Anolis sagrei: one gene and its partners. The main gene of each other region encodes a partner of the protein of the gene in region 3 in a complex. Links are inferred from orthologs where the notes say so. Each region holds a gene or a part of one and is shown on either strand. Other genes may lie near its edges.

Region 1 (7,500 bases), on a different chromosome or scaffold from region 3:
TCGGTAAGAGTTATCATGGGAGAAAGAGCTTTTTCTCCAATATCTGTTTCCATAACAAGCCAATTTTTCCAAAATCTAGTTACCACAGGGTCAGAAAGTGAAGTGAAATCTTCTTAACAGGGGCATAGACAGCCAAACAACCACCACAGGGGTCTTAACCCTTCCCCATGCTATTTAAAGCATGTGTATTTGTGTGCACGCATGTATATGTATATGTGTGCACACACATACATATACTGTATACATATTTGGCTGGAGTTACAGTTCTGTTTCCGCTTACATACAAATTCAACTTATGAACAAATCTACAGAACCTATCATGTCTGTAACTCAGGGACTACTTGTATAGCATCAGATACTCTACAGCTGGGGTCCTCACACTTTTTAAACAGAGGGCCAGGTCACAGTCCTTCAAACTGTTGGAGGGCCAGATTATAATTTGGAAAAAAAACATGAATGAATTCCTATGCACACTGCACATATCTTATTTGTAGTGCAAAAAACATTTAAAAACAATACAATAATTAAAATGAAGAACAATTTTAACAAATATAAACGTATTAGTATCTCAGTGGGAAGTGTGGACCTGCTTTTGGCTGATGAGATAGGATTGTTGTTGTTGTATGCTTTCAAGTAGTTTCAGACTTAGGTCAACTCTGAGCGACGGCCGGGTAAATGACCTTGGAGGGCTATATCCGGCCCCCGGGCTTTAGTTTGAGAACCCCTGATCTACAGCATCACAAATATACACAATTGGCACTAGATAAGCCAGCTAATAAATGCAGTGAGCCTTCCTCCTTTAGAGGCCTTTAAACTGATGTCAGATGGGCATCTTTCAAAAGTGCTTCCGTTATGTATTGAGTGCTGCACCTTCCATGCTTAGTATTCTATGGTTCTAAGAATTTGCCATCTCGATCCAGATCTCTAGTAATAGACTTATATGTACCAATGAATTGTGTGCACTTAGCAAGTAAACTGTACTTCATGTTATAATACATTTGTTAGCCGAAAGCAATGGTATTCCCCATAGTCACCTACGGATGTGAGAGCTGGACCATAAGGAAGACTGAGCAAAGGAAAATAGATGCTTTTGAACTGTGGTGTTGGAGGAAAGAGCTGAGCGTGCCTTGGATTGCTGCTGTGTTTTTCAGTGTTTTTATGAGTGACGGTCACTTGTTGGCCTGATAGGTGTATTCTGTCCAAATTTGGTGTCAATTTGTCCAGTGAGTTATGTTAATCCCACAAACGAACATTTCATTTTTATTTATATAGATATACCCAGGGCCATATAAAGGTTTGTTGGCTGGAAAGGATTCCTCCAGTCCATCCTCCAGGAAATAAAGCCCGACTGCTCATTGGAGGGAAGGACAGTAGAGGCCAAGATGAAGTACTTTGACCACATCATGAGAAGAAAGGAAAGCTTGGAGAAGACAATGATGCTGGGGGAAACGGAAGGAAAAAGGAAGAGGGGCCGACCAAGGGCAAGATGGATGGATGGGATCCTTGAAGTGACTGGATTGACCCTGAAGGAGCTGGAGGTGGTGACGGCCAACAGGGAGCTCTGGCGTGGGCTGGTCCATGAGGTCACGAAGAGTCGGAAATGTCTGAACGAATGAACAACAACAATAGCCGAAAGCTGTCAACAACTACAATCTGAACACTAGTAAGTCTCTAAAGAGTGTAATTTTGACAGAGCCAGCCTGCCTCATTGTAACACGGTTTCTGTTCCTGGGTTATCAATGTAACCCAGCGGTGGCCGGGAGAGCTTTTGCACAACTAAAACTTGTGCGCCAGCTGTGCCCGTACCTTGGGAAGTTGGATCTGGCCACGGTGGTCCACGCTCTTGTTACATCCCGATTAGATTACTGCAACGCACTCTACGTGGGGTTGCCTTTGAAGACTGTTCTGAAACTCCAAATAGTCCAGCAGGAGGCAGCGAGATTGCTCACCGGAGCGTCATACAGGGAGCATACCACCCCCCTGTTGTGTCAGCTCCACTAGCTGGCGATCCAATTACAAGCACAATTCAAAGTGCTGGTTTTGACCTACAAAACCCTATACGGTTCCGGCCCAGTGTATCTGTCCGAACGGATCTCCCTTTACGTCCCACCTCGGAGTCTAAGATCTTCTGGGGAGGCCCTGCTCTCGACCCCGCCTCTATCACAAGTGAGGTTGGTGGGGACGAGGAGCAGGGCGTTCTCAGTGGTGGCCCCCCACCTGTGAAATTCACTCCCCAGGGAAATTAGATCAGTGTCATCCCTCCTTTCCTTTAGGAAAAAATTGAAAACATGGATTTGGGACCAGGCATTCGGATAATCTGGCAGATAAAGAAAGGACTTTGACGATGGACAGGAATTGACTAATGAATGGAATTATGGAACTCTGAAAGACGAATGCTGAGCATGAGATTAGTTTTATTGATGTGTTATATACCGACTGTTTTAACTGTGCTAATTGTTTTAATTATGGTTTTGTACGTTATGTGTATTTTGTGTCGGCATCGAATTGTGCCTTTTTGTAAGCCGCCCTGAGTCCCCCCTCGGGGGTTGAGAAGGGCGGGCTAGAAGTACTCGAAATAAATAAATAAATAAATTTCCTAATTGGGTCTATCATAAAAACATGGAAAAGATTATTAAACTGCAAAGACCTTGCACTGGGGCATCTTGCAACACATTTGCTCTAGTTTTTCAATGAATATCTCAATAGAGGATCGACCAATTCCACATAGTTTACGGCAGCCACAAAAACGAAGTTTCTGGAGTAGAACAACTACCTTCAAAGTAAGTACTGCCCATTTAAACATTGAAATAACACTGTCAAATCCTTGAATTTAACAACATTGAGACGAGGCAGTTAAAGCGGTGTCGAAGTGCGCTCATTCCACAATGTAGCTGCGCCTTGAGAGGCGCCCCCTGCTCCTAGGCCCAAGCTGGTCGAGAGCAGGAAGCCGGCCTACCTTTGCAACTCCCGTCCCTCGACGGCTGAGAGGAAGTCGGGCTCCTGCTTCGCCTCGCCGCCATCCTGCCCGGTCACCACCAAAAACCGCCTCCGCCCAGTGGTCCGAGTGAAGCCGAAAGAGACCGGGGCCGGCGGAGTGGCCGCTGACTTCTCTGCTCCTTCCGCCATCTTATTTTCCCCTGCCTTGCCCCGCCCCCATCGCCACTTACGTCGTTGCGTTGCATCATGGGAGACGAAGTTTTAGAGACTCCCGCTTCTTTATCGAAGTTCTGAAACAGAGGCGCCTGAGGACGACAACTCCCAGGATGCAATGCGGCAACAGCACTTCCTTCCGGAGCCGGCCGCACATAAGTCATGTTGCGCATGCGCTTCTTCTCTTCCACGCTTTTCTCTGCTCTCTGAAGATAACAATCGAGCACTGTCTGAATTTACACTGGTAATTATAGAGACCTTTGCTTTTTCTTATTCGGTTTGCAGATTTATAAAGAGATCATCGTTTATGGATGTCTCCACTGGATACCCGATGTCCTTCCGTTGTCTCGGTTTGTCAGGAAAACTCCTCCCATTTTTTCAGATGCTTTTAAGGCCCCCTGTCATATAATCCAGATTACCAAAGAAGATCAGCCACATTAGCTGCTTTGAACTGGATTATATGAGTCTATACAGTCTGGAAGGGGGGGGGCAGAAGACAGTTCCATCTTGTCTCCTGTGGTTTACTTATATAATATATTGTATATACATATATTTATAATATTGTAATGTAAAACAATATAATACTAATAATAATACAATATAATAATTATATATTTTATATTACATGTCATATTACTAATAAAATTACAATATAATGGTAATTATAGTATATATATTAAAATGCTCTGTGCATAATGAGTACCTTAAAAACAAAAGAACCAATTACACCAAATTTGGCAACAAAACATTTCACAACACAAAGAGTGACCATCACTCAAAAATTATGATTTTTTCATTTGGGAGTTGTAGTTGCTGGGATTTATAGTTCACCTACAATCAAAGCGCATTCTGAACTCCATCAATGATGGAATTGAACCAAACCTGGCACACAGAACTCACTTGACCAACAGAAAATATTGGAAGGGTTTAGAGGGCATTGATCTTGAGTTTGGGAGTTGCAGTTCACCTACATCCAGGGAGCACTGTGGACTCAAACGATGAAAGATCTATGCCAAATTTGGCATGAATACTCAATATGCCCAAATACGAACACAGGTGGAGTTTGGGGGAAATAGACCTTGACATTTTGGAGTTGTAGTTACTGGGATTTATAGTTCACCTACACAGAGCATTCTGAATCCCACCAACGATAGAATTGGCCAAACTTCCCACACAGAAGCCCCAGGACCAACAGAAAATACTGTGTTTTTCTTTGGTGACCCTTTTGACACCTCCTCACACACACACACACCTGGGGTCCCGACCCCCAGGTTGAGAAATGCTGCCTTAAGGCCATCCAGTCCAACTCCTTTCACCAGGGCAAGAAAATATAATCAAAGCCCTTCTGACAAAGAGCCATCCAGCCATAGATATAAATAGATAGATATGATCCACACACAGATATAGTATCATAGATTTGAAAAGGACCCCTAAAGAAGAAAAATTATATGTTGCATGTTCTACAGTAGGCAAACCAGACCATCTCCACATCAACACTGGCAAAGAAACAGCAAGAAATATTGTTTACCCACAAGCATAAAGAAATTACATATATTAGAAACCAACACTTTCCCGTTACTTTATTTTCCAGATCAGCAGACTGGGCCACAGCAACCCGTGGCAGGTGAAAGTTAGTAATATATAATACTGACATTATACTATGCTAATAATATATATTGAATGTATATATATCTTGTAAGCCGCTCTGGGTCCTCTTCAGGGTGAGGAGGGTGGCATATAAATGTCATAAATAATAAATAAATTTTCTATAGCAGTGTAGAAGGGGTAATTCCACACGGCTGTATAACCCAGAATATCAAGGCAGATAATTCACATCTGCTTTGAAATGGGTTATCAGAGTCCACACTGCCATATAATCCAGTTCAAAGCAGGTAATGTGGGATTTTATACAGCTGTGTGGAAGGGGCTTTAGCCAGTGGTCAGAGAGGTTAGGAACTTTTGTCTAGAAACACATGTTTTCCATTCCTATAGTGTGGGGGTTTGATAGGCTGTCTGCTCTGATTGTGCATGGCAAGGGGTGGACTGGATGACCCACGTGGGCTCTTCAGCTTTATTATTCCTTGAACCATCTTCACTTTTAACCAATATGGATGCCTTGATTTCATTGATTATAATAAGCCAATGCTGCTGCTCAATTCATAATTCTTGCTGACATAGTAGTCAATTGTTTTTCTTCTCTCTCACATCCAGGACATTTCATGTAAGGGAAGATGGGACGTTCCTCTAAGGACAAACGGGACATTTACTACCGCTTGGCGAAGGAGGAAGGCTGGCGAGCTCGCAGCGCCTTCAAACTTCTCCAACTGGATGAAGAATATCATTTGTTTCAAGGTGAGCCCCATCATACAATTGGAATTCATCTATCCAGAATGTGTGGGGTGAAACATTTCAGTTGTGCATGGGAGTGGTACAATCTTGCAGATGTTCTTGTACTGCAACTCTGATCAATCCTAGCCATCTTAGCCAAGGAGGACTTTTATCTGGTAGGATAAAAGTGATGGGAAGTTAAGCTGCAAGAAATAATCAAATTTACTCTGCCGAATAGCTGTCAGTTTTGGCCCTCCATATGTTTGGGACCTCAACTTCTAGATTTCCTGAAGGTCCAAAATATCTGGAGGATCAGAGTTTGAGAATCACTGGTCTAGACCACTATTCTTAAACTGTGAGTCCCAACCTCAAATGGGGTCCCCTTTAGCTCAATATTGGGATCACAAAAAAATTGGAAAAAGGTTTCTGAATGCCACCCATTTTCACAAATTTGCAGTGTTTACAGTGGACTGTGCAGAAATCACTTCAAGCTTGGCAATAGAACACTTCCTTTGAGCATATACAGAATACTGTTTGTTTGCCATGGAGATAATATTTTGGGGCTCAGAAGCAAGGCTATCATTTCGAAATTTGAGCAAACTTGGAAACCTTCCTTTTTCCCCTACTATCTTTTTTCAGGAAAGAAACCCATGAGTTGTACTTCCTAGTCTCATATTGCAGTCTTCTTGCCATGGCATCCCCTTACCTTTCTTATTCCCTCTTTTCTCTCTCTAGGTGTCTCAAGGGCTGTGGATCTCTGTGCTGCTCCTGGGAGCTGGAGCCAAGTTTTGAGCCGAAAACTGAAGTAAGCAAGTCACTTTGTTGTAGTGTTTATGGGGGACTACCACCTTATAGGAGATAACCAGAAATTCATCCTCAACACACACACACCCTTTTTTTTCTACAGAGGAGAAGGTGCTAAAAATGAAGATGTCAAAATAGTGGCTGTAGATTTGCAAGCCATGGCTCCCTTGTCTGGAGTTATTCAAATTCAGGGGGACATTACCAAGGTATTGTGTTTCCAACCCAATTCAAAATCCACCCTACCTCTCCTTGAATTTAAGGCCTACTTAATAGCAACCCTTTGGCCATTATAACCCACCCCATCACTTCTCTCCCTCTGCTTCCAGGTCTCTACAGCAGAAGAGATAATCCATCATTTTGAAGGGCAACCTGCTGACTTGGTGGTGTGTGATGGAGCTCCTGATGGTAGGTAGAAATCACAGCCATAATCTTACTGTTTCTACTTTTCCCAGGATTGTGCACCATTGGCCAGGGAGAATCTGCCATCTCTAAACAGGGTGCAGTCAGCCTCCCACATTCTCTGGGCTTAAAGGCACAGTGCCTCCCTAAATGTAAAATATCATACATGAAAAATTGTTGCTTTTATTAGCTGAGAAAACATGTCTCTAGGAATTTCTAGATCTTTCTGCTTGGTTCTTGGCTCAGCATCTGCTAGAAACTGACCATAGGATTGCACTGGAAAGCCAAGAGACCTTAGAGAAGTGTTCTTTTAAGTATTCTTCAGCGTGACTTCATGGCCTGGAGGAAGTTGACCATAGAATCACACTGGAGGACCTGGAGATTCCTAGAGAGATTTTAATGAAGTCTATAAATCAAATCCACAAAAGTCGAACCCACAAATGTGTAGCACTGACTATATTTCTCCAGTACCTTACTTCTTTCATGGCTTCTGTGCTCCTGTCATAATTGCTTATGTCTGTGTACTGCAGCCACATTCTCAGTCCACCTGGGACTTATTATTTATTTATTTATTTACTATATTTCTATACCACCCTTCTCAGCCCGAGGGCAACTCAGGGCGGTTTACAAAACTGGCACAATTCGATGCCACAATAATATAAACAGTTAAAAACATATAAACATCCATAAAATTCCATAAACAATAAAATCAATAAAACATAAATCCTCTGTATCTAATTTCCAAAATCTTTAGCCAATTGCAATTCTCCAGTTAGCTTTACAAAAAGTGAGGAATAGCTTCCTGTATTTATTTTGATG
Region 2 (7,244 bases), on a different chromosome or scaffold from region 3:
CCTTGCACTGCCCAGCAGGAAACACCACGTGCTTCGCAGGGCTTGGAAAAGTTGCTTGTCTGCAGCACTGGGTGTAGAATTAATGTAATTTGACATCACTGTGGCTTAATGCTATGGGGTCGTGAGAGTTGTAGTTTCACAAAGCCACTAAAATGATCCCTATGAGGAGTGGCTTCAGGAGCTGGAAAAGTTCAGTCTGAAGAAGAGAATGACATGATTGCTTTGTATAAATATCTGGAAGACTCTCATAAGGAAGAAGGAGCAGGCTTGTTTTCCGCTGCTCTGGACACTGGGACTCAATGGAGCAATGGGTTCAAATGACAGGAAAGGAGATTCCACCTGAACATTAGGAAGAACTTCCTGACTGTAAGAGCTGTTCAGCAGTGGAACTCTCTGCCTTGGAGTGTGATGAAAGTTCCTTTTTTGGAGGCTTTAAAAAAAATACTGAATGGTCATTTGTTGAGGATGTTTTGATTGTGGTTTTCCTGCATGGCAGGAGACTGGACTGGATGACCCATGTGGTCTCTTCCAACTCTACTATTCTAAGGTCTTTGGCCTTCTCTTCCAAAGAGAACTGGTCCTCACCAAACTGCAACTCCCAGGACTCCATAGCATTGATCCATGGATGGTCAAGGGGCATCAAACTACATTGATTTTGCAGTGTACAGCTGGCTCGTGTCCCTGTTTGTAGGAGGTACAGTTCCCAGGTGTTGCTTTCATTCTTCTCTCTAAACAGAATATTGTGTCACAGTAAATGTTATATTTCAGCATTATCACTTATCTGAGCTTCTTTTGTGTGTGTGTGTGTGTGTGTGTGTCAGGAGCGACTTGAGAAACTGCAAGTCGCTTCTGGTGTGAAAGAATTGGTCATCTGCAAGGACATTGCCCAGGGGACGCCCAGACGTGTTACCATCTGGTGGAAGGCATCTCTCATGCCCCCACATGGGAAGCTGGAGCTGACAGAGGAGAGCTCACCCCACTCCCTGGCTTTGAACCACCAACCTTTTGGTCAGCAGTCCTGACCATTGTGCCACCAGGGGCTCCATCTATCTAAGCCAGTGTTTCTCAACCTGGGGGTTAGGACCCCTGAAGGGGTCGCGAAGGGGTGTCAGAGGGGTCGCCAAAGACCATCAAAAAACACAGTATTTTCTGTTGGTCATGGGGGTTCTGTGTGGAAAGTTTGGCCCAATTCTATCATTGGTGGGGTTCAGAACGCTCCTTGATTGTAGGTGAACTATAAATTCCAGTATCTACAACTCCCAAATGTCAAAGTCTATTTTCCCCAAAGCCCATCAGTGTTCACATTTGGGCATATTGAGTATCCGTGCCAAGTTTGGTCCAGATCCATCATTGTTTGAGCCCACAGTGCTCTCTGGATGTAGGCGAACTAGAACTCCCAAACTCAAGGTCAATGCCCACCAAACCCTTCCAGTATTTTCTGTTGATCATGGGAGTTCTCTGTGCTAACTTTGGTTCAATTCCATTGTTGGTGGGGTTCAGAATGCTCTTTGTTTACATGTTAACTATAAATCCCAGCAACTACAACTCCCAAATGACAAACTCAATCCCCCCGCCAACCCCACCAGTATTCAAATTTGGGCATATCAGGTATTTGTGCCAAATTTGCTCCAGTGAATGAAAATACATCCTGCAGATCACTATTTACATGGCGATTCATAATGTTAGGGTTATGGTTGGGGGTCACCACAACATGAGGAACCGTATTAAGGGGGCGCGGCATTAGGAAGGTTGAGAACCACTGATCTAAGCTAAAGGCATATGTAGCCATTTTGACACCAGCAAAAATGATACATGGGAGTTATAGTTTTGCAAGGTCTTTATCCTTCTCTGCCAAATAACAGCTGGTGCCTCGCCAAACTTCTTCTTCTTCTTAGGCGATCCCTCGCTTTCCGAGGATGATTGCCTTCCAATATTCTTGTGGGTCCATATGTGGCTGTGGAGCCCTATTCTTGCTCTGCATCTTCTTCCGCAGTGAGGGCATTGGTTTCCTGGTGGAAGGCGGTCTTGGTCGGGGTTGGCTTGACGCGCCTTCCTCTTGGCACGCTTCTCTTTTTCGCCCTCCACTCGTGCCTCCTCAAATTCTGCAGCACTGCTGGTCACAGCTGACCTCCAGCTGGAGCGCTCAAGGGCCAGGGCTTCCCAGTTCTCAGTGTCTATGCCAGAGTTTTTAAGGTTGGGTTTGAGCCCATCTTTAAATCTCTTTTCCTGTCCTCCAACATTTCGTTTTCCGTTCTTGAGTTCGGAGTAGAGCAACTGCTTTGGGAGACGGTGGTCGGGCATCCGGACAACGTGGCCGGTCCAGCGGAGTTGGTGGCGGAGGACCATCGCTTCAATGCTGGTGGTCTTTGCTTCTTCCAGCACGCTGACGTTTATCCGCTGTCTTCCCAAGAGATTTGCAGGATTTTCCGGAGGCAGCGCTGATGGAATTGTTCCAGGAGTTGCATGTGACGTCTGTAGACAGTCCACGTCTCACAGGCATATAGCAGGGTTGGGAGGACAATAGCTTTATAGACAAGCACCTTGGTCTCCCTACGGATGTCCCGGTCCTCAAACACTCCCTGCTTCATTTCGGAAAAATGCTGCGCTTGCAGAGCTCAGGCGGTGTTGTATTTCGGTGTCGATGTTGACTTTGGTGGAGAGGTGGCTGCCAAGGTAGCGGAAATGATCAACATTTCCTCGCCAAACTACAACTCCCATGATTCAATAGCATTGAGCAATGGCAATTAAAGTGATGTCAAGCTGCACTCCTTCTACAGTATAGATGCACCCCTATTAGACACGAGTGCATGGACACCCCTGCAAGCAGGTTCCCCTTCCTGAATTGCAAACGAGTCCTGTGCCTGCTTAAGAGAAGACCCCAAAGACAAGAGACCAACAATCACAACAATGGAGGAGTTTCACCCCATTGAATTAATGCTTTTACTTTCCCGGGGGGAGGAGAGGGTGCTTGATGGAATGGCCAGCACTGTGACGTCACAGACTCACCATAACAGCCGCCGGCAACTCCCGCCGCACAGAACCCGCGTGGATCGAAGCCCCTGGACCAGAAAGAACTTCCCGGGCTGCGCATGCGCGGTGAGAGCCTCTGCGAACGCTCAGGAGACGAAGCAAACGGAAGCGCTGCCTTCGCGTGAAGCAGGAAAGGGAACCGGGCTGCCTTCTTAAAGGAGCCGCGGCCTAATTCTTCCCTTGATTGTTCCATATCTTAAAGGGGCCGGCTGATTAATTAACACGGCATTTAAAAGGGAAGCGGCTTCACTTTTCTTTGGGGTGAATCTACATTATACAATGAATGCAATTTGACGCCACTTTGAATGCCTTGGCTCAATGGTATGGAACCCTGGGAGTTGTAGTTTTCCAAGAGAAGTATCTATCTACACTATAACATTGAGGCGGTTTGACCCCGCTTGAACTGCCATGACTTAGTGCAAGTTTTCCAAGAGCAGTATATATCTACACTGTAGCATTGATGCAGTTGGACCCCACATTAATTCCCATAACTCAGTGCAATGAAGTTGTGGGAGTTGTAGTTTTCCAAGAGCATTATCTATACTGTTGCATGGATGCAGTTGGACCCCACTTGAACTGCCTTGAATCAGTGTAATGGGAAGTTGTAGTTTTCCAAGAGCAGTATCTACTCACTGTAGCATTGATGCAGTTTGACCCCACTTGAACTCCCATGACTTCATGCAATAGAGTTGTGGGAGTTGTAGTTTTCCAAAAGAAGTATCTATCTATACTGTAGCATGGATGCAGCTTGACCCCACTTGAATTCCCATGACTCAATGCAATAGAGTTGTGGGAGTTGTAGTTTTCCAAGAGAAGTATCTATTCTACACTGTAGCATGGATGCATTTCGACTCCACTTGCACTGCCATGCCTCAGTGCAATGGAGTCGTGGGAGTTGTAGTTTCCCAAGAAAAAAAATATCTATCTACAGTATTGATGTATACTTAGCATTCATGCATTTTGACCCCACTTGAATTCCCATGACTCAGTGCAATGAAGTTGTGGGAGTTGTAGTTTTCCAAGAGCAGTGTTTATCTATATGTAGCATGGATGCAGTTTGACCCCACTTGAACTGCCATGAATCAATGCAAAGGGGCTGTGGGAGTTGTAGTTTTCCAAGAGCAGTATCTACTCACTGTAGCATGGATGCAGTTTGACCCCACTTGAACTGCCATGACTCCATGCAATGGGGCGGTGTGAGTTGTAGTTTTCCAAGAGAAGCGTCTATCTAGACTGTAGCATGGATGCACTTTGACCCTACTTGAACTCCCATGACTCAATGCAATGGAGTTGTGGGAGGTGTAGTTTTCCAAGACACGTGTCTATACTATAGCATGGATGCAGTTTGAACCCACTTGAACTCCCATGAGTTAATACAGTGGTGTTGTGGGAGTTGTAGCTTTCCAAGAGAAGTATCTATTCTAAACTGTAGCATGGATGCGGTTCCCCCCCCCCCCCATTTGAACTGCCATGCCTCAGTGCAGTGGAGTCGTGGGAGTTGTAGTTTCCCAAGAAAAAATATCTATCTACAGTATTGATGTATACTTGGCATTAATGCAGTTTGACCCCACTTGAATTCCCATGACTCAGTGCAATGGAGTTGTGGGAGTTGTAGTTTTCCAAGACACGTGTCTATCTACACTGTAGCATGGATGCAGTTTGACCCCATTTGAACTCCCATGACTCAAAGCAATGGCATTGTTGTGGGAGTTGTAGTTTTCCAAAAGAAGTATCTATATATATTGTAGCACTAGCCGTCCCCTGCCACGCGTTGCTGTGGCCCACATAGGGGTTCTGTGTGGGAGATTTGGCCCAATTCTATTGTTGGTGGGATTCAGAATGCTCTGTGATTGTAGGTGAACTATAAATCCCAGCAACTACAACTCCCAAATGTCAAGATTCTATTTTCCCCAAACTCTACCAGTGTTCACATTTGGACATATTGAGTATTCGTATAGAGTTTGGTCCTATTGAGTATTCGTATAGAGTTTGGTCCAGATCCATTATTGCTTGAGTCCACAGTGATCTCGGGATGTAGGTGAACTGCAACTCCAAAACCAAAGGACACTGCCCACCAAACCCTTCCAGTATTTGCTGTTTTGTCATGGGAGTTCTGTGTGCCAAGTTTGGTTCAATTCCATCGTTGGTGGGGTTCAGAATGCTCTTTGATTGTAGGTGAACTATAAATCCCAGCAACTACAACTCCCAAATGACAAAATCAATTTTTTTGAGTGAAGGACATACATTGGGTTGTTAGGTGTCTTGTGTCCAAATTTGGTGTCAATTCGTTCAGTGGTTTTTGAGTTATGCTAATCCCACAAACGAACATTACATTTTTATTTATATAGATTGATGCAGTTTGACCACACTTGAACTGCCATGACCCCATGCTATGGAGTTGCAGTTTTCCAAGAGAAGTAACTATCAACACTGTAGCATTGTTGCAGTTCGACTCCACTTGAACTCCCATGACCCCATGCAATGGAGTCGTGGGAGTTGTGGTTTTGCAAGTTCCTTCTCTCCAATGAGTACTGGTGCCTCACCAAACTACAAATCCCAGGGTGCTTTTTTATCCCCCTGATTAAAATAAAAGGATGGAGGGAGTAAAAAAACCTTGGACAACCAACATTAAAAAAATTCCTTGTCTGCACCAGATGGCAGCAGAGAGCCATTTTTTGGCTTTCCTAAGGGAAATTCTCATTACACTTTAGATCAGGCATAGGCAAACTCTGGCCCTCCAGGTGTTTTGGACTTCAACTTCTACAATTCCTAACAGCCTACCAGAATTGTGGGAGTTGAAGTCCAACACATTGGAGGGCCGAAGTTTGCCCATGCCTGATCTAAAAGTGTAATGAGAATTTCCCTTAGGAAAGCCAAAAATGGCTCTCTGCCATTTGGATCCACCAATGCATCCTCTGATAGTTGACACATTAGAGCCACATAGGAATCTTGAGGTCCTCCAGCTTGATTCTATTGCTCAGATCCCCCAAAATGTTGACACCTTCTGCATTTAAATGAATGGACACCCTCTGCAATTATCTCTTTGTTTTATGTATAGATGCCGTGAAATGCCCTTATCTCTTGCATCCCGAAATATGACTATGATGTGGAACGCCAGTATGTAAAAAGGATATTGCAGAACTTTGAGAAAGCAAATGGTAACATAAGCTTTTGTAAGCATCTGAGGAGGTAGACTAAAGGTGCATCTGCACTGTAGAATGAATTCAGTTTTGAAATTGAGCAATTTCAAGGGGTGGCAGATATTGAGATCTGGATCGCAGATAGCGAAACCCAGTGTGTGGATACCGAGATCCATTAAGTGGGTAACAGGTACCGGCAGCAGGCCGACTGTGGATCCATGCCTGGTGAGACTAAGAAGCTATAACCCAATGTTCCCCAATCAAGAAATCTCACCAGTTGAAGATAAAGCTGTCAAAAAATTAAAAATGCTCAGTTTCTGCTCTGTAGCTAACCTGTACGGTTCTGTTCTGTGCTTTAAAAATGTTTAAGGCTATCAACTCACCCTCCGCATGTGAGGTTCGCTCAGTGATACGTTTTTTTGTCAGCAAGGAACCTGCCTGCTGCAGAAATTCATCGACAGATTTGTGAAGTGTACGGTGAGACTGTTATGAGTGAAAGCAAAGTGTGTAAGTGGGTACGACAATTCAAAGATGGCCGTGACAACGTCCATGATGAGGACCGCTCCGGTCGCCCTTCTTTGATTACAGATAATTTGGTGGCTTCAGTTGAAGTGAGGATTCATGAGAATAGGCGCTTCACAATAACAATAATAAAAAAATTTGAATTGTCATACCCACTTACACACTTTGCTTTCACTCATAACGGTATCACCGTACACTTCACAAATCTGTCAATAAATTTCTGCAGCAGGCAGGTTCCTTGCTGACAAAAACCGTATCACTGAGCGAACCTCACATGCAGAGGGTGAGTTGATAGTCTTAAACATTTTAAAAGCACAGAACAGAACCGTACAGGTTAGCTACAGAGCGGAAACTGAGCACAGTTGTTCCCGAGGCATGCCGGTACACGATGCACGCGCTCGTTGCAGTATGCGCGCGAACTACTAGTGTCTACAACAAAACGGACATTACTTAAAAAATACCCCTCGTATTTTTAATTACAAAAATGTGAGCCAAGCACTGAAAGGGTTGAATGAATGCAATGACTCAGCAAAAGCTATACTTCTATATAAG
Region 3 (7,584 bases):
TAAGGTGGGAAAGAAAAGAGCCTGAGTTGAATTCCAAAGAAGAAGAAGAACTTTATTTTTCTACCCCGCCTCCATCTCCCTGAAGGCACTCGGGGTGGCTTACATGGGGCCCAAGCCCAGGATGAATACAATTAAAATAAAGCAATAACAATTAAAACAGCATAAAAACAGCATAAAACAACATAAAAATAGCTAGCAACAACAATAACAGCAGACTAATTTTGGAGGGGGGGAGGAAAACCACTACGTGAACTAGTTAAAGGATAAAGTGGTTTAGTAAGGTAGATGACAATGTATAACGGCATAGGAAAAATCATGGAAACAGAGCAAATTAACAGTATCAGTTAATATAATATAGGACATCAGATTGAATGGCAGTTCAAGTCATGATACAGGCCATTTGTCATTTGTCAAAACACCAGGAGGGCCCAAGTCTGCCCATGCCTGGTTTAACATTCAACAAGCAAATATTGTTGTGCTCCTGTTAGCTGGCTGTACACAGCTCAGCTTTCTGAGTGACAAAACAATGTAAGCTCAAGTAGTTTAACAGCTCAGGAACAATAAGCAACATGGGTTTGACTCTAGGTGCAACTGTAAAATGGTCTGCTCACTTTGCTCGTCTCTCCTCCTGCATTTGGGGCTTGGTCCTCTGGGCCTTGTCCCCCATCCGGGTGCCTTCCAGCTTCCCGACAAGCGACAAGACCTCGCCGGTGGGTTCATCACGACGAGTCCTGTCAATCAGGGAGCGGTCAGCTTGGAGTACGAGATTGGAGTTCTAGAAAAAAGAACAAACAAGAAGGCGGATCAGGACACTGGAGAATTCTTACCATTTTTACCTCATTATGAGAAATAACATGTTTGTCGCACCTCAGAGTAGATTCACCATGCTGAAATCACCAAAACTGCACACAGACTGAAGTCTTTGTAGTTTATTGAAAAGTAAAAGATAAAAGTTCTAAAAAGCAAGTAATGTTCCAAAAGACCAATAAAACATAACACTGTAAAGCAGGATTTCAAGAGGCACCAACAAAACAAAATCTCATAAGAACATGATGCCTGTACTGATCTAATCTGGCCACGGTGGTCCACGCTCTGGTTACATCCCGAATGCGCTCTACGTGGGGCTGCCTTTGGAGACAGTTCGGAAACTTCAGCTAGTTCAGCGGGCGGCAGTCAGATTACTAACTGGGGTGACATGCAGGGAGCATACCACCCTCCTGCTATGCCAGCTCCACTGGCTGCCAGTACATCTCCGAGCCCAATTCAAAGTGCTGGTTGTGACCTATAAAGCTCTATATGGTTCTGGCCCAGCTTACTTGTTCGAACATATCCACCCCTACGTCCCACCTTGTAATCTAAAATCATCCGGGGAAGCCCTGCTCTCACTCCCGTCAACAGCACAGATGCGCCTGGTGGGGATGAGAGACAGGGCCTTCTCGGCTGTGGCCCCCCACCTATGGAACACACTCCCAAATGAGGTAAGATCCACTCCCTCCCTCCTGGCTTTTAGAAAGAAATTAAAAACATGGTTTTGGGACCAGGCATTAGGGCAGTAGAACTAAATGTATGCAGCATTTCGAAAAGACAATGACTGGAACGGCGATTTGACGGACGAGACTGTTTTATTGTTTTAATGATTGTTTTATTTTATTTATTTATTATTCGAACTTATATGCCGCCACTCCCCTGGGGCTCGGAGTGGCTTACAAAAACGGCTAAAATCTAACACAATTTAAAAACAATTTAAAACCAGCAATATTAAAAATCAAAGGCCTGTCAAAACAGGTATGTCTTACATGCCCATGGATGTAAGCTCATGGGCTCATTTATTGCTCATGGATGTTTTGTTTTAATTTGATTCATGTCTAATTGTTGTGTATAATTGTAATTGTTTATACTGGCATTGAATTTTTGCCATTACTTATGTGTAAACCGCTTTGAGTCCCCCTCTGGGTGAGAAAAGCAGTATACAAATACTGTAAATAAATAATAAATAATTAAGCATTGGGGAGAATCACCCTCTGGGTTCGTTTGCTTAACCCAGTGGTTCTCAACCTGTGGGTCCCCAGGTGTTTTAGAAGGCATGATCGTCAAGTTTGCAGATGACACCAAATTAGGAGGGATAGCCAATACTCCAGAGGACAGAAGCAGAATTCAAAGCGATCTTGACAGATTACAGAGATGGGCCAAGACTAACAAAATGAAGATCAACAGTGACAAATGCAAGATACTCCACTTTGGCAGGAAAAACGAAATGCAAAGATACAGAATGGGGGACGATGATGCCTGGCTTGAGAGCAGTACGTGTGAAAAAGATCTTGGAGTCCTCGTGGACAACAAGTTACACATGAGCCAACAATGTGATGTGGCGACAAAAAAAGCAAATGGGATTTTGGCCTGCATTAATAGGAGCCTAGTGTCTAGATCTAGGGAAGTCATGCTACCCCTCTATTCTGCTTTGGTTAGACCACATCTGGAATACTGTGTCCAATTCTGGGCACCACAATTCAAGAGAGATGTTGACAAGCTGGAATGTGTCCAGAGGTGGCCGACTAAAATGATCAAAGGTCTGGAGAACAAGCCCTATGAGGAGCGGCTTAAGAAGCTGGGCATGTTTAGCCTGAAGAGAAGGCTGAGAGGAGATATGATAGCCATGCCTAAATATGTGAGAGGAAGCCACAGGGAGGAGGGAGCAAGCTTGTTTTCTGCTTCCCTGGAGACTAGGACGCGGAACAATGGCTTCAAACTACAAGAGAGGAGATTCCATCTGAACATGAGGAAGAACTTCCTGACTGTGAGAGCCGTTCAGCAGTGGAACTCTCTGCCCCGGAGTGTGGTGGAGGGTCCTTCTTTGGAAGCTTTTAAACAGAGGCTGGATGGCCATCTGTCAGGGGTGATTAGAATGCAATATTCCTGCGTCTTGGCCGAATGGGGTTGGACTGGATGGCCCATGAGGTCTCTTCCAACTCCTTGATTCTATGATTCTAAGTCATGGGGAAACCTGTCGAGGGAAGGCCTTCCTGAATTCCACGGCGTTCCCTGCATCTACCTACCTTGTAACTCTATCGGAGGTATCTTAGCTGTAAGTAAATAAATAAACCACCCCCCTTTCAGCCTCCTTTCCTCCACTCACCGCCTTATATTCGTACTGGAGGCTCCGGGCGGTGACGTCCGCCATCGCTGCTTTCCCTCACTCCGTCAAACGCCTCTGGCACGCAAAAGCGCCACTGAGAACTTCCGCTTCCGGTCCTAAGCTGCCTCTTTCCGGCGCGTAGGGGATGCCTCAGCCGCCTTCTCTATGCCATGATGAACTCCTAGAATGGCTGGTCTTGGCGAAGCCTGGGAGGACTTCCGGTTTGAGGGCGGCCATTTTTTTTCAGCCTCGTTTTCAAATGAGTGAAGGAAAGTCAGAAAAGAAGGTATGCAATGTATACGGCAGGCCTGGGCCTACTTCGGCCCTCCAGGTGTTTTGGACTCCAACTCCCACAATTCCTAATAGCCGGTAGATAGTTAGGAATTGTGGGAGTTGAAGTCCAAAACACCTGGAGGGCCCAAGTTGGCCCAGGCCTAGTATAGTTTGTGTGTGTGTGTGTGTGTTACATACTAGCCGTCCCCTGCCAGGCGTTGCTGTGGCCCAGTCCAATGATCTGGAAAATAAAGTAATGAAAAAGTGTTGGTTTCAAATATATGTAATGTCTTTATGCTTGTGAGTAAACAGTATTTTTATTGTTTCTTTGTCAGTGTTGATGTAAAGATTGTCTGGTTTGCCTACTCTGGAACATGCACCATATCATAGTCCTTCTTTAGGGGTCCCTTTCAAATCTGTGATATTACTAGCCGTCCCCTGCCCCTGGAGAGAGAGTTGGGGAGCGCTCTTTTCATCGAAGGGGGAATGCTGGAGGAAAAGGGGGTGTCGGATAAGACAGATTGTCAGATAAGCAAAGGTCAGATAAGCGAGACTCTGCTGTATGTAGTTTTGTTGGCATTGGTATTATTTATTCAAGGTTAATTTCCATAGTAATACTGTAGATTCATATATACCTGTTCCCAGTCCCTTGGCGGAATAAGATTTTTACAGAAGAGCTAGGACCATATTTTTCATAGCTGAAATGAACACCACAAAGTACCAGTCTTTGCCTTTTGGTATAGAGCAGTGGTTCTCAACCTGGGGTCCCCAGATGTTTTTGGCCTACAACTCCCAGAAATCCCAGCCAGGTTGCCAGCTGTTAGGATTTCTGGGAGTTGAAGGCCAAAAACATCTGGAGACCCCAGGTTGAGAACCACTGGTATAGAGTATCTTCATCAGAAGAAGCTTCACGTGAAGGAGGGTCATTGGTGTTGTAGTCTGGCAAGCATCTGAGGATTTTTCTGAATGTTCAGAGGATGAGGGGGGAAATTATTTCCAAAATAAGGTATCCATGAGGGAATTGCAGGCAGACGAGGCTGGTATTTTGAAATTCTTCCGCTCGTTCCTAGGCGATGGGAAAATTAAAGTACCAGTTCCCTTGAGAAAAGGCTTTTGAAAGAAGGGGAGTTTTCAAGGGAGTATAGATTAGACCTGAGAACACAGAGCATGAAAAGCAGGCTAGATATTCTCAGAGGATTCGAGATAAGACTTTGAAGTCCAGGTGTGTTTACCATGATGTCATGGGTGTCTTGGTGGGTTTAAATTAAATGGTTTGGTTTCTTTCCTCAGTCCCTCCTCTCCCTTATGATCCTATCCTTCCTTTCCTATGTCTTTCCTTCCTCCTTCTCTTCCTCCCTTCTCTTCCACCCTTGCTTCTTTCCTCTCTCTCCTTCCCTCTTTCTCCCTCCCTCCATTCCCTTCTACCCTTTTGTTTTTCCTTCCATCTTTCTCTTCCTTCCATCTCTTCCTCCTTTCCAACCTTCCATCCTTCCTCCCCTTTTGTCTCTCTTTCCTTCCTCCTTACCTCCCTCTTTCTCCTTACATCCTTTCCTTCCCTTTTGTTCCTTCTCTCTTTCCTTCCTCCTTCCTTCCCTCTTTATCCCACCCTCCTTCCTTCCTTTCCACCCTTCCTTCTTTACCTCTTTCCTCTCTCTTTCTCCTTCGTTTTTGTTTTTCCATCCCTCTTTCTCCTTCCATCCTCCCTTCCTCCCTTTTGTCCTTCCTTCCTTCTCTATTTCCTTCCTCCTTCCCCTCCTTCCTTCAATCACTGGGCAGCCAGTCCTCTTCGCAGGGAGTCCTTGCACGCAGCCCCAAAATTAGAAAGTTTGCCCATGCCTGCTGTAGATGCACTCACAGTTAGATTTGGGCTGCATTGGCCCTTTCTACACTGCTATATAATCCAGGTTATCAAATCAGATAATCTACATTATCTACTTTGAACTGGATTATATGAGCCTACACTGACATATAATCCAGTTTAAATCAGATGATCTGGATTTTATATGGCAGTGTAGAAGGAGCCTTATTGTGTTGGAAAAATCAACAGTTCCGTCCTTGACCATTTGGTGCCCAATTATCCTTTTTTTATATAGGAAATAAACAGGTAAGATGTATTGTCTTCTAGGGCGTGCAATTCGGCACGAAGTTGATATTAGCAAATGCCAAACAGGGCCAAACAGTACGAATTCACTGGATCATAGGACGCTAAGAAAACGAGAGTCAGGAATAGTTCCTAGAATTAGATGACTCAATTAACCGCAACAAGCAGGACATTTCTGGGCATCCAACGCCGCCACAAATTCCGCAATCTGGCAACATGCTGTGCACTGGAGTATCTCCTTTTATATGTTCTAAATATACCAACGGCACTTCCCAGCAATTCCAACTGGGTAAGGCAGGTGGTCTTCAAGGGCAACCCTATGTCAAGGAGGACCAAGATATGTCCATGAGAAAATGTCCTGAAGAGATTCTGGGAACCAGAATGGAGGCCACCTTACTTGGAAAGCCCCATACCTAAAATTCGTTATGGGGGCATTTGGAACTGGCTCAGTGTTTTCCAAATATTTGGAACATAATCATCAAGGTTGTTTCTTCCAAGAAGTTTCTCTTGGGTTGACACTGGCTTAGCTTCACCTCAGGTTTCACCTTAGGTTTACCTTCACCTAAGGTTCACCTCAGACTGACAGGTCGCAGGTTCGAATCCGGGGAGAGTGTGGATGAGCTCCCTCTATCAGCTCCAGCTCCTCATGCGGGGCATGAGAGAAGCCTCCCACAAGGATGATAAAACATCAAAAATCCGGGCATCCCCTGGGCAACGTCCTTGCAGATGACCAATTCTCTCATACCAGAAGCGACTTACAGTTTCTCAAGTCACTCCTGACACAACAACAACAAAAAAACAAAAACCTCAGGTTTTGGAGTGCGTTAGGGCATGTAAAAAAATCAGTTGGTGAGTGTGTTAACTGAAAATGCAAAGCACGAAGCTGATTGGTCAGGCCAAGCTAGCTGAGCCTGGGAGTTTTGGCAACAGTTACATGTTTAGGCTTTAGCTGTGCAAGAGCTTGCAGACAGAGAAAGACAGTTCTTGCTTCATGAGCTGTTGGAAGAGGATCTTCCACATAGATGCTTAAATGCGATTTGAACCTCAAAAGACATTGTGTGAGTCAATGCAACTGTTCTCGTGATTGTATATATGTCGCTCTGCACTTTATCAATTAAACTTGTGTTTTACTGATCATCTGTATGGCATATTTTCTTTCTCTGGCAAGACAGTGTGTAGACTCGTAAAACGTGAACTACACATGATTTTCATCCTGCCACAAACTGTTCTACTTCCATCAGCACTCTATCTCTGGCTATCTATGTGCTTGGACTACAACTTTAGGTGTTACTTTTCCATTGGCTAAATCAGTGGTTCCAAACATTTTTTGACCAGGGACCACTCCCCAATATTAGTACCAAAAGGGTTACAAATCAGTTTTTGGTCAACTTTAGATTCTGTTTGGTTATTTGGGGTGCTGATTCAGAAAACTACATTGGATAGACCACATCAGCTCTAGTTTCTGATACAGAACATATGTCATCCAGTAGTCTGCTTTCCCACAGAAAACCATATTTGATAAGCCTTGGCACTATAAAAGGGTTTCTGGAGACCAGTCACTCTTGTTGCAATGGTGTAGTAACAGTGAGGCTGTGGACCATATTTTAGTTTTTGCAGACCACTGGTTGGGAACCACTGGGCTAAATGGACTAGCGCCACTGCGTCTTGCAATCCAATAATATCGAGAGAGCCATACAATTCTCACTCCTGGACTACAGGAAGCTTCCCAGGTTTCAGACTATTTTGCAATCCAAGACCAAGTCTTCAAAGAATGCATCTACACTGCTGAATGAATGCAGCTTGATAGCACTTTAACTGCCAAGGCTCAAGGCTTTGGAACCCTGGGAATTCGAGTTTCCCAAGGTCTTGAGCCTTCTCTGCCCAAGAGAGCTGAATAGGGAGCCAAAGTTTGCAGGCATGGTATAGAAAAAAACTAGGTTTATTTTATCACATGGGCATCACACATAAAACCATTTAAAAATCTGGCTTTAAAAGGAGTCTTTACCTCCAGGTGGTAGACAGACAAGGCTGAGATATCTTTGCATGTTTAGAGAGAATATTATTATTATTATTATTA
Region 4 (8,198 bases), on a different chromosome or scaffold from region 3:
AATGTAATTATCATATTCCAAGAACATGGCACGCACCCACAAACACCCAAGCGCTATCGCTGTATTCCGAATGCCAGGAAACCTTATCTTGCACTCCCAGCTGTGCTTCACGTTCATTCAGTTCGTTGATCAGCTTCACCTTAGTAAGTGGGCTAGAAAAGGGTAAAAACAGAAAAGGGGAGCTGAAACCAAAAGCCACACTGCATATCCCACACCTGACTTGGGATAATTGGGGTTCTCAATATTTATATTTATTATGTTAGGATCATAACCTATTGGATAGCAGAATTTCAGAAGCGCTCTTATAGTTTATTGGGTAATGGATGATCACTGGGCGTGTAAATATCTTGTTTCTATTCTATGCTCTCAGCAGACAAAGATTCAAGTAGACTTCTTTACAATACTCATAACTGCATGTATTTAAATATATAGGCACATTTCTTATCAAGTTAAACTTTAAACATTTCAGTTTGTATCTTTAACTTAATAATCTTCAACAGTCTCTTCAAAACTATATCGCTCTGGACAGCTCTCTTTCATAACAGTCTACTTCCAAGGGACTCAAACCTTAACAGTCTTCTAACTTCCTACACTGGCTTCTGTACGCAAGCTGATTCAAGCCTCAACTGTCATTCCTCAACTGCCATCCTTTTAAACTTCATTCTAAGGAGTCACCGAACCAGTCACATGGTCTATAGCCCCTCCCACTGCCTCTAGTACATAAAGCTAAGAAGACTGCAAACCAAAGAAGACATACACTACAGGAAATAAACAACACATTATAAACAGACAAAACATTAAAAAGAGGAAGCTTGAGAAGGTTGCTATCTCCAACTATATTACTTCATTTTCATACCACCCTTTCTCCATGACTCAATTTGCTACATGGCTTTCTATTATGTATTTATTTGCTGAAGGCAACTCAAGGCAGTTTACAGGCGGCACAATTCGATGTCTCCAACAACATAAAACACAATTTAAAACATTCAACCTATAATATAAAATCAAATAAAACGAATAAAAGCATAAGTCCTCAGCGTCTCCTTACTAAAATAATTTTCGACTTGCCTCGTCTAGTCATTCTATGGATCTAGATTTGCCAGTTACACTGCATTTGCAAATGCTTGCTCAAAAAGCCAGGTTTTAACTTTCTATTAACCATGACCCAGGGTGCATCTAAACTACTGAATTAATTCAGTTGACCAGGAGCCGCTGGTGACATAGTGGGTTAAACCCTTGTGCTGGCAGGACTGAAGACTGACAGGCCTGAGGTTCGAATCCAGGAAGAGCGCAGATGAGCTCCCTTTGTCAGTTCCAGCTCCTCGTGAAGGGACATGAAGGGACTACTTATAACTGTTGACGTTATTTTGTAATTTTGTATATTGTATTTTGTGAATTGTTGGGCATCGAATTGTGCCTTTTGTAAGCTGCCCTGAGTCCCCCCTAGGGGGTTGAGAAGGGCGGGGTAGAGGCACCCCAAATAAATAAATAAGTAAATAAGGATGATAAAACATCTGGATGTCCCTGGGCAACGTCCTTGCAGATTGCCAATTCTCTCACACCAGAAGTGACTTGCAGTTTCTCAAGTCACTCCTGACATGAAAAAAAAAGAGTTGACGATAACTGCCATGGCTTATTCTGTGTAATCATGGGAGTTATCATTTGTAAGACTATTAGCCAATAATAATAATAACAACAACATTTTTAATTATGTTTTAATGTATGCATATTTGTATATTTTGAACAGTGTGGTCATACTTTTAATTTAAGCCGTTTTGAGTCTCCTTCAAAAGAGATAAAGTGGGGTATAAATAAACATAAACATAATAATAATAATAACAACAACAACAATAAGAGACACTTGGACCTAATGTGCATGTGTGCTGTAACATTATGTACATGTAAATAATAATAATAATAATAATAATAATAATAATAATAATGTTTTTGTCACACACTTTCCCTTGAGATGGGGTACAAAATGATTTGTTTTACTAACTTGTTATGGTTGATATTATATGTTAATATTTTAAAATGTTTTTATGATGTTGTTGGGCATTGAATTGTTGCCTTGTGAACCGCCTCAAGTTGCCTGCGGGCTGAGAGGGGTGGTATATAAATATAGCAAATAAATAATAATAACAACAACAATACCTTCTCAGTGGTGGCCCCCCACCTGTGGAATTCACTCCCGGGGGAAATCAGAACAGCACCAACCCTCCTCTCCTTCAGGAGGAGGGTGAAGACATGGCTGTGGAACCAAGCCTTTGGGCAACCAGACAATTAGACAATGACAACCAAATAAGACAATCAGATGTGTGAGATCGGCAGGATTGTCGAAATGGAACCAAAACAGATCTTTGAGTTAATTGTACACTGATGGGTAGGAGGAAGTTCCAGGTTTGTATTGTTTTTACTGATTTTATCATTTTACTGATTTTATTGGATAATGTTGAATTGTGGGAATTTGTACTGTTATATTTTTTGTGATGATTGTTTGTGTAGCAGGCGTCTAAGTGCGCCTTGCAGCTGTAAGCCGCCCTGGGTCCCCTTCGGGGTGAGAAGGGCGGGGTACAAGAACCCCAAATAAATAAATAAATATAAATAAATACTGTCAAAGCACAGCAACATAAAACACATACAAGAAAATACATATATTAAAATGCATTGTTTGTTTATTTATTTATTTACCATATTTATATACTGCCCCATTCAACCCGAAGGCGACTCGAGGCGGTTGATAATGATGCATTTGATAATAATGCCTAATGAATGCATTATTATCAAATGCATATATTAAAATGCACCACTATAAATACATATATTAAAACACATCACTATAAAATACTTATATTAAAATGCATTACTAAAATACATATTTTAGAACACATTACTATAAAATACATATCTTAAAAAGCCAAACTGTACAATGATTAAAAATACAGTAAGAATAGAATGCCAATTTAAAATTGCCAAGGTAGGTTAAAGACCTTGTCAAATTTGTCCAACTCCCACAGTTCCATAACACCGAGCCCTGGCAGTTAAAGCGGGCTCAAACTGCATTAACTCTACAGCGTAGATGCACCCAAAACTTACTTCATCTTGGTTTCTCTTCCTGTGTGAGTTTGCGCATGCGCGCTACTTCCCGGCAGGCTTCGGCGAGCGTCAGGTCGCGTCCTCTCTCTGGATAGGTCGAGCCTTCTCCGGGAGCAGCCAATCACGATCGTCCCTTGCCTCGTGCTCTTTGCTGCTTTCACGCGCCGCTTTGGAAGCCGAGATACTGCGCATGCGCAACCGCAGCTTTGTTGATAGTTCCAAAAGGCTGGCAGCTCAGAGATTTCCTTTCTTTTTTTGGCCCTGAAAAGTGTCATAAATGCGTCTAATGCAATTAAATCTCAAACCTCATATCTCACAATAATTAATGCATGTAACTCCTAATATACATTACAACACTGAATTTAATAACTAAGGGTGCGTCTACACTGTAGAATTAATGCAGTTTGACACCACTTGCATTACTATGGCTCAGTGCAATGGGATCCAGTCCCTTCCTAGCAAAAAAGCCATCAGATTTTAACCAAGGTGTGTATTTGATCCTATTTTAATATTTATAGTTTGGAGGGAGAATTTATAATAATTTACAATAAATTTATAATATAATGTAGTATAATTTATTGTATATACATGTAGTATGTATAATATTATAATGTAATGCAATATACTACTACTAATATGATATAATTTTATATTTATATTACATGTAATATTAGTAATAATATTACAATATAATGGTATAGTACAAAATAGTAATATTCAATATCGACATTGTACTATGCTAATAATATAATATATTGTATGTATATATACCTTGTAAGCCGCTCTGAATCCCCTTCGGGGTGAAAAGGGCAGCAGAGGAGGGTGCCCAGAGGAGGGCGACTAAAATGATCAAGGGTCTGGAGAACAAGCCCTATGAGGAGCGGCTTAAGGAGCTGGGCATGTTTAGCCTGAAGAAGAGAAGGATGAGAGGAGATAGGATAGCCAAGTATAAATATGTGAGACGAAGCCACAGGGAGGAGGAGGGAGCAAGCTTGTTTTCTGCTTCCCTGGAGATTAGGACGAGGAACAATGGCTTCAAACTACAAGAAAGGAGATTCCATCTGAACTTCCTGACTGTGAGAGCTGATCAGCAGTGGAACTCTCTGCCCCGGAGTGTGGTGGAGGCTCCTTCTTTGGAAGCTTTTAAACAGAGGATGGATGGGCATCTGTCGGGGGTGCTTTGAATGCAATATTCCTGCTTCTTGGCAGAATGGGGTTGGACTGGATGGCCCATGAGGTCTCTTCCAACTCTATGATTCTATATAAATGTCGTAAATAATAAATAAATAAATATTTGTATATTTTAAATTGTTGGGAGCCACTTTGCATCTCCATGTTAGATCTAACAGCAGAATAGAAATAATAATATAATAATAGTTTTCATTTGATGTTTATGCTAAAAAAATAAATTACTATTGTTTTTATCTAGTCCAACCCCTATCCATGCAGGAAAAGCACAATCAAAGCACCCCCAACAGATGGCCACACCAGCCTGTTTAAAAGCCTCCAAGGAAGGAGCTTCCACCACACCTCGAGGCAGAGAGTTCCACTGCTCAACAGCTCCCCTTACAGTAAGAAAGCTTTTCCTAATGTTCAAGTAGAATATCCTTTCCTGTCATTTGAACCCATTGCTCCAAGTCCTAATTCCAAGGGCAGCATAAAACAAGCCTGCCCCCTCTTCCTTATGACAGCCTTTCAAATATTTATACTCTCGTGTCTCCTCTCAACCTTCTCATCTGGAGGCTAAACAGACCTAGCTCTTTAAGACGCTCTTCAAAGGTATATATGGTCTCTAGATTTTGAACATTTTAGTCATCTTCCTCTGGACATATTCCACTTGTCAATATCTCTCTTAAATTGTTTTGCCCAGGATTGAACGGAGTGTTATTCCAGATGAAGTCCGAGCAAAGCAGACTAGATGAGCACCATGACTTCCTTTGATCTAAATGCTATACTCCTTTTTGCAAGATTTTTCATATCAAAAAACGAGAGAGAGAGAAGCAGCAGTGGAAAAACACAAGAGCACTGGACTTGCACAGCTATGGAACTCTGCTGTAGCATTTCAGTCAACAAGGCAGGCCAATTAAAACCTTGTCTGGAAGTGGACACCCTATTGATCCGCCTGCAGCCGGCAGAGGAGGCCATCAGCAGGGAGCCATGAACAGCCTGCTTCACAAAGGGACAGGGAATGACCTTTTTGGCACACAATGGTATCATTGGTGCCTGAGGAGCTGAGTCATTCAGGACTCACCAGCAGCAGTCTTTTTTCCCTCAATTTTTCGGATCTGAGATGTTTCCTTCCATCTTGCCAGTCATATTCAAACCTGGATTGCTGCAAGTTTTCTGGAGTGTATGGTCATGTTTCAGAAGCATTTTTTCCTGACGTTTCGCCCATATCTATGACAGGCATTCTCAGAGGTTGTGAGGTTTGTTGGAAACTAGGAAAATTGGGTTTACATATCTGTGGAATAATGTCCAGGGTGGGAGGGTGAACAGGTGGGAGAAAGAACTCTTGTCTGTTGGAGGCAAGTGTGAATGCTGCAATTGGCCGGTTTGGTTAGCATTGAATAGCCTTGCAGTTTCAAAGCCTGGCTGCTACTTGCCTGGGGGAATCCTTTGCTGAGAAATGTTTCCAGACATGGAACAATCAGGGCCAGCTAATACTTCCCAACAAAGAATTGCCCCAGGCAGGAAGCAGCCAGGCTTTGAAGCTGCACAGCTATTCAATGCTAATCAAGGCGGCCAATTGCAACATTCACACATGCCTCAAACAGACAAGAGTTCTTTCTCCCACCCTGAACATAATTCCACAGATTTATGTTCTTGCCTAGTTTCCACAGAACTCACAACCCCTGAGGATGCCTGACATAGATGTGGGTGAAACATCCGGAGAGGATGATGATGATGATGATGATGATAATAATAATAATCTTTATCTATATCCCGCCACCAGCTCCCCAGAGGGGACTCAGGGCAGCTAACATGAGGCCAAGCCCAAATACAACACAACAAAATAAAATACAGAATGCTGAAAACAAAAAATTACATCAAAATAAAATAATGTACAGTAGCAAAATAGGATAAATAAAACAAATTAACACAGGCCAAATGGAGGAGGTAAAATGACAAAACCCTGGATGAAGTAGGAAAGAAAATATGTAATTAAGGGGAACCCAAAAAGGCTAAACAGTGGGGTAGGCATTCAATTTAGGACTGGGGAAAGTGCATCATAGGGGCAACACTATGGAGTGCTTCAGGAATATGGCCATACATCCTGGAAAACTCACAGCAACCCAGTTATTCCCGCCATGCAAGCCGTTGACAACACATATTCAAGCCACTGTATTTTCACTTTCCCATCTCTTAACCTCTCAGTATCTCAGGGATTGGACTAAATCAGTGATGGGCAACCTTTTGAGTTTACTGTGTCAAAATTTGCCAAAAACCTGAGCATAACTTGGGTGGGGTGTCAACTTTGAGGAAAAAAAACATAATGTATATTCCATGCTGAGTTATGGAGTGAACAATGCTCAAACGTGCAGATGTTAAATTTGTAGAGCCTTTTACAGATTTAAGAATGGAATTAGATTGGCTCTTATAAGGTGTACTTCTCTGTATGCGGCCGCATGTGGCCGCGTGTCATCAAAAATAGCTATGCGACGTGTCAGTGCTGACACGCGTCTCATAGGTTCACCATCACGGGACTAGATGGTCCATGTGGTCTCTTTCAACGCTATCATTCTATGATTTTATTATTCTCTGGGAGGGAAAATAAAAAATATTGAGGTACCCTGCCTCTGGTCCTGAACAGCCCTCCAATAGAAACAGACCGTTCTATGCCAACTAGGCATTTCCTAAAGAGGATTTGCATGATGAGCAACGTGGGAACAACGTTCATACTACAGTTCCCATTATACTCCATCAGTATAATGTCCCTTTACGTCCCACCCGGAGTTTAAGATTGGCCGGGGGGGCCCTGCTCTCGACCCCGCCAGTGTCACAAGTGAGGCTGGCGGGGACGAGGAGCAGGGCCTTCTCGGTGGCGGCTCCCTGCCTGTGGAACTCGCTCCCCGGGGAAATCAGAACAGTGACCTCACTTCTCTCCTTTAGGAGAAAACTCAAAACTTGGTTGTGGGACCAAGCGTTTGGTCAATGAGCAGGTGAAGAATGGATACCATCTAGGAAAGGTATAATGGATTGGAATCTGGAACCCGGAAAGACAAATGCTGAACACGTGAATTGTTCTATATGCTGTGTTACTGATTGTTAATTTGCATCGTTGTTTTAACCATGATAACTGTTTTAATTGTTTATTATGATTGTCACTTGTATAAATGTAATTGTATGGGTGCCGAATGGTGCCTCGTTGTGTAAGCCACCCTGAGTCCCCCCTCGGGGGTGAGAAGGGCGGGGTATAAGTGCTGGAAATAATAATAATAATAATAATAATAATAATAATAATAATATCCATAGAAAACAGTGTATAGAAGGGGTTCCCCTATATCACCTTTAAAGCAAACACAGCAAAACATTTTATGCAATCCGAAAGAACAGAACAAACACCTTGGCGAAAGCTTGTGTGTACCATGGCCCATTTAATCAGATCCGTATCACGAACTACCGTTGTGAAGAGCACTTTGTCAATCTAAAGCATTACAACAGCTCGGTTATAAATCATTCTTTTGCAATACCTGCGTGAACTTACTCACACACAAATGCCTCTTAAGTGGGGACACTCCACACGTTAAAATAAATGAGATGAGAACCGGAGGTTTGCAAGGTGCAACAAAACATAACCCTTCCACACACAAAAATTGACAGTGCAAGTTTGGGATGGTGGTATCAGACTGACATTTATAATTTTCTTCTTGGTGCAATTGACTGCCTGAGATAAGAATGAATTCTCCTTTAAATTTAAAGCATTCTAATTCTCAGGGATGTTTCAGGTTCTTGCACTTGCAGAGGGTTGGTCTAGATGGCCCTTGGGAGCCCCATGATTCTATGGAATCACCCAGAAACTGACCAGTAACCCCCGGTCCATGTTTTATCTACTTTTGTGGCTCGTCCACAAACCCATGTGCTAGCATTCAAAGAGGTGAAAA

Evidence for each region. Proteins that work in one complex are often made in the same cells at the same time.
Region 1: SNRNP200 (region 3) and GPKOW share a complex: the UniProt entries of both Homo sapiens proteins name them as parts of the minor spliceosome. The link is inferred for Anolis sagrei from reciprocal best matches to the Homo sapiens genes SNRNP200 and GPKOW.
Region 2: SNRNP200 (region 3) and LSM2 share a complex: the UniProt entries of both Homo sapiens proteins name them as parts of the U4/U6-U5 tri-snRNP complex. The link is inferred for Anolis sagrei from reciprocal best matches to the Homo sapiens genes SNRNP200 and LSM2.
Region 4: SNRNP200 (region 3) and RBMX2 share a complex: the UniProt entries of both Homo sapiens proteins name them as parts of the minor spliceosome. The link is inferred for Anolis sagrei from reciprocal best matches to the Homo sapiens genes SNRNP200 and RBMX2.

The regions. Positions count from the first base shown.
Region 1 is NC_090022.1:179,133,861-179,141,360, forward strand, and holds the start of GPKOW (G-patch domain and KOW motifs-containing protein), read right to left. Parts: upstream 3,169-7,500; 5' UTR 3,127-3,168; coding exon 2,957-3,126; intron 1-2,956. Other genes in the region: FTSJ1 (tRNA (cytidine(32)/guanosine(34)-2'-O)-methyltransferase), read left to right, coding at 5,382-5,502, 6,214-6,283, 6,386-6,488, 6,609-6,687. UniProt on the Homo sapiens protein: RNA-binding protein involved in pre-mRNA splicing. As a component of the minor spliceosome, involved in the splicing of U12-type introns in pre-mRNAs.
Region 2 is NC_090022.1:21,206,991-21,214,234, forward strand, and holds the start of LSM2 (U6 snRNA-associated Sm-like protein LSm2), read right to left. Parts: upstream 3,169-7,244; 5' UTR 3,010-3,168; coding exon 3,007-3,009; intron 1-3,006. UniProt on the Homo sapiens protein: Plays a role in pre-mRNA splicing as component of the U4/U6-U5 tri-snRNP complex that is involved in spliceosome assembly, and as component of the precatalytic spliceosome (spliceosome B complex).
Region 3 is NC_090027.1:21,839,486-21,847,069, reverse strand, and holds the start of SNRNP200 (U5 small nuclear ribonucleoprotein 200 kDa helicase), read right to left. Parts: upstream 3,243-7,584; 5' UTR 3,179-3,242; coding exon 3,134-3,178; intron 776-3,133; coding exon 612-775; intron 1-611. UniProt on the Homo sapiens protein: Catalyzes the ATP-dependent unwinding of U4/U6 RNA duplices, an essential step in the assembly of a catalytically active spliceosome. Plays a role in pre-mRNA splicing as a core component of precatalytic, catalytic and postcatalytic spliceosomal complexes.
Region 4 is NC_090030.1:10,484,380-10,492,577, forward strand, and holds the start of RBMX2 (RNA-binding motif protein, X-linked 2), read right to left. Parts: upstream 3,169-8,198; 5' UTR 3,102-3,168; coding exon 3,097-3,101; intron 153-3,096; coding exon 37-152; intron 1-36. UniProt on the Homo sapiens protein: Involved in pre-mRNA splicing as component of the activated spliceosome. As a component of the minor spliceosome, involved in the splicing of U12-type introns in pre-mRNAs.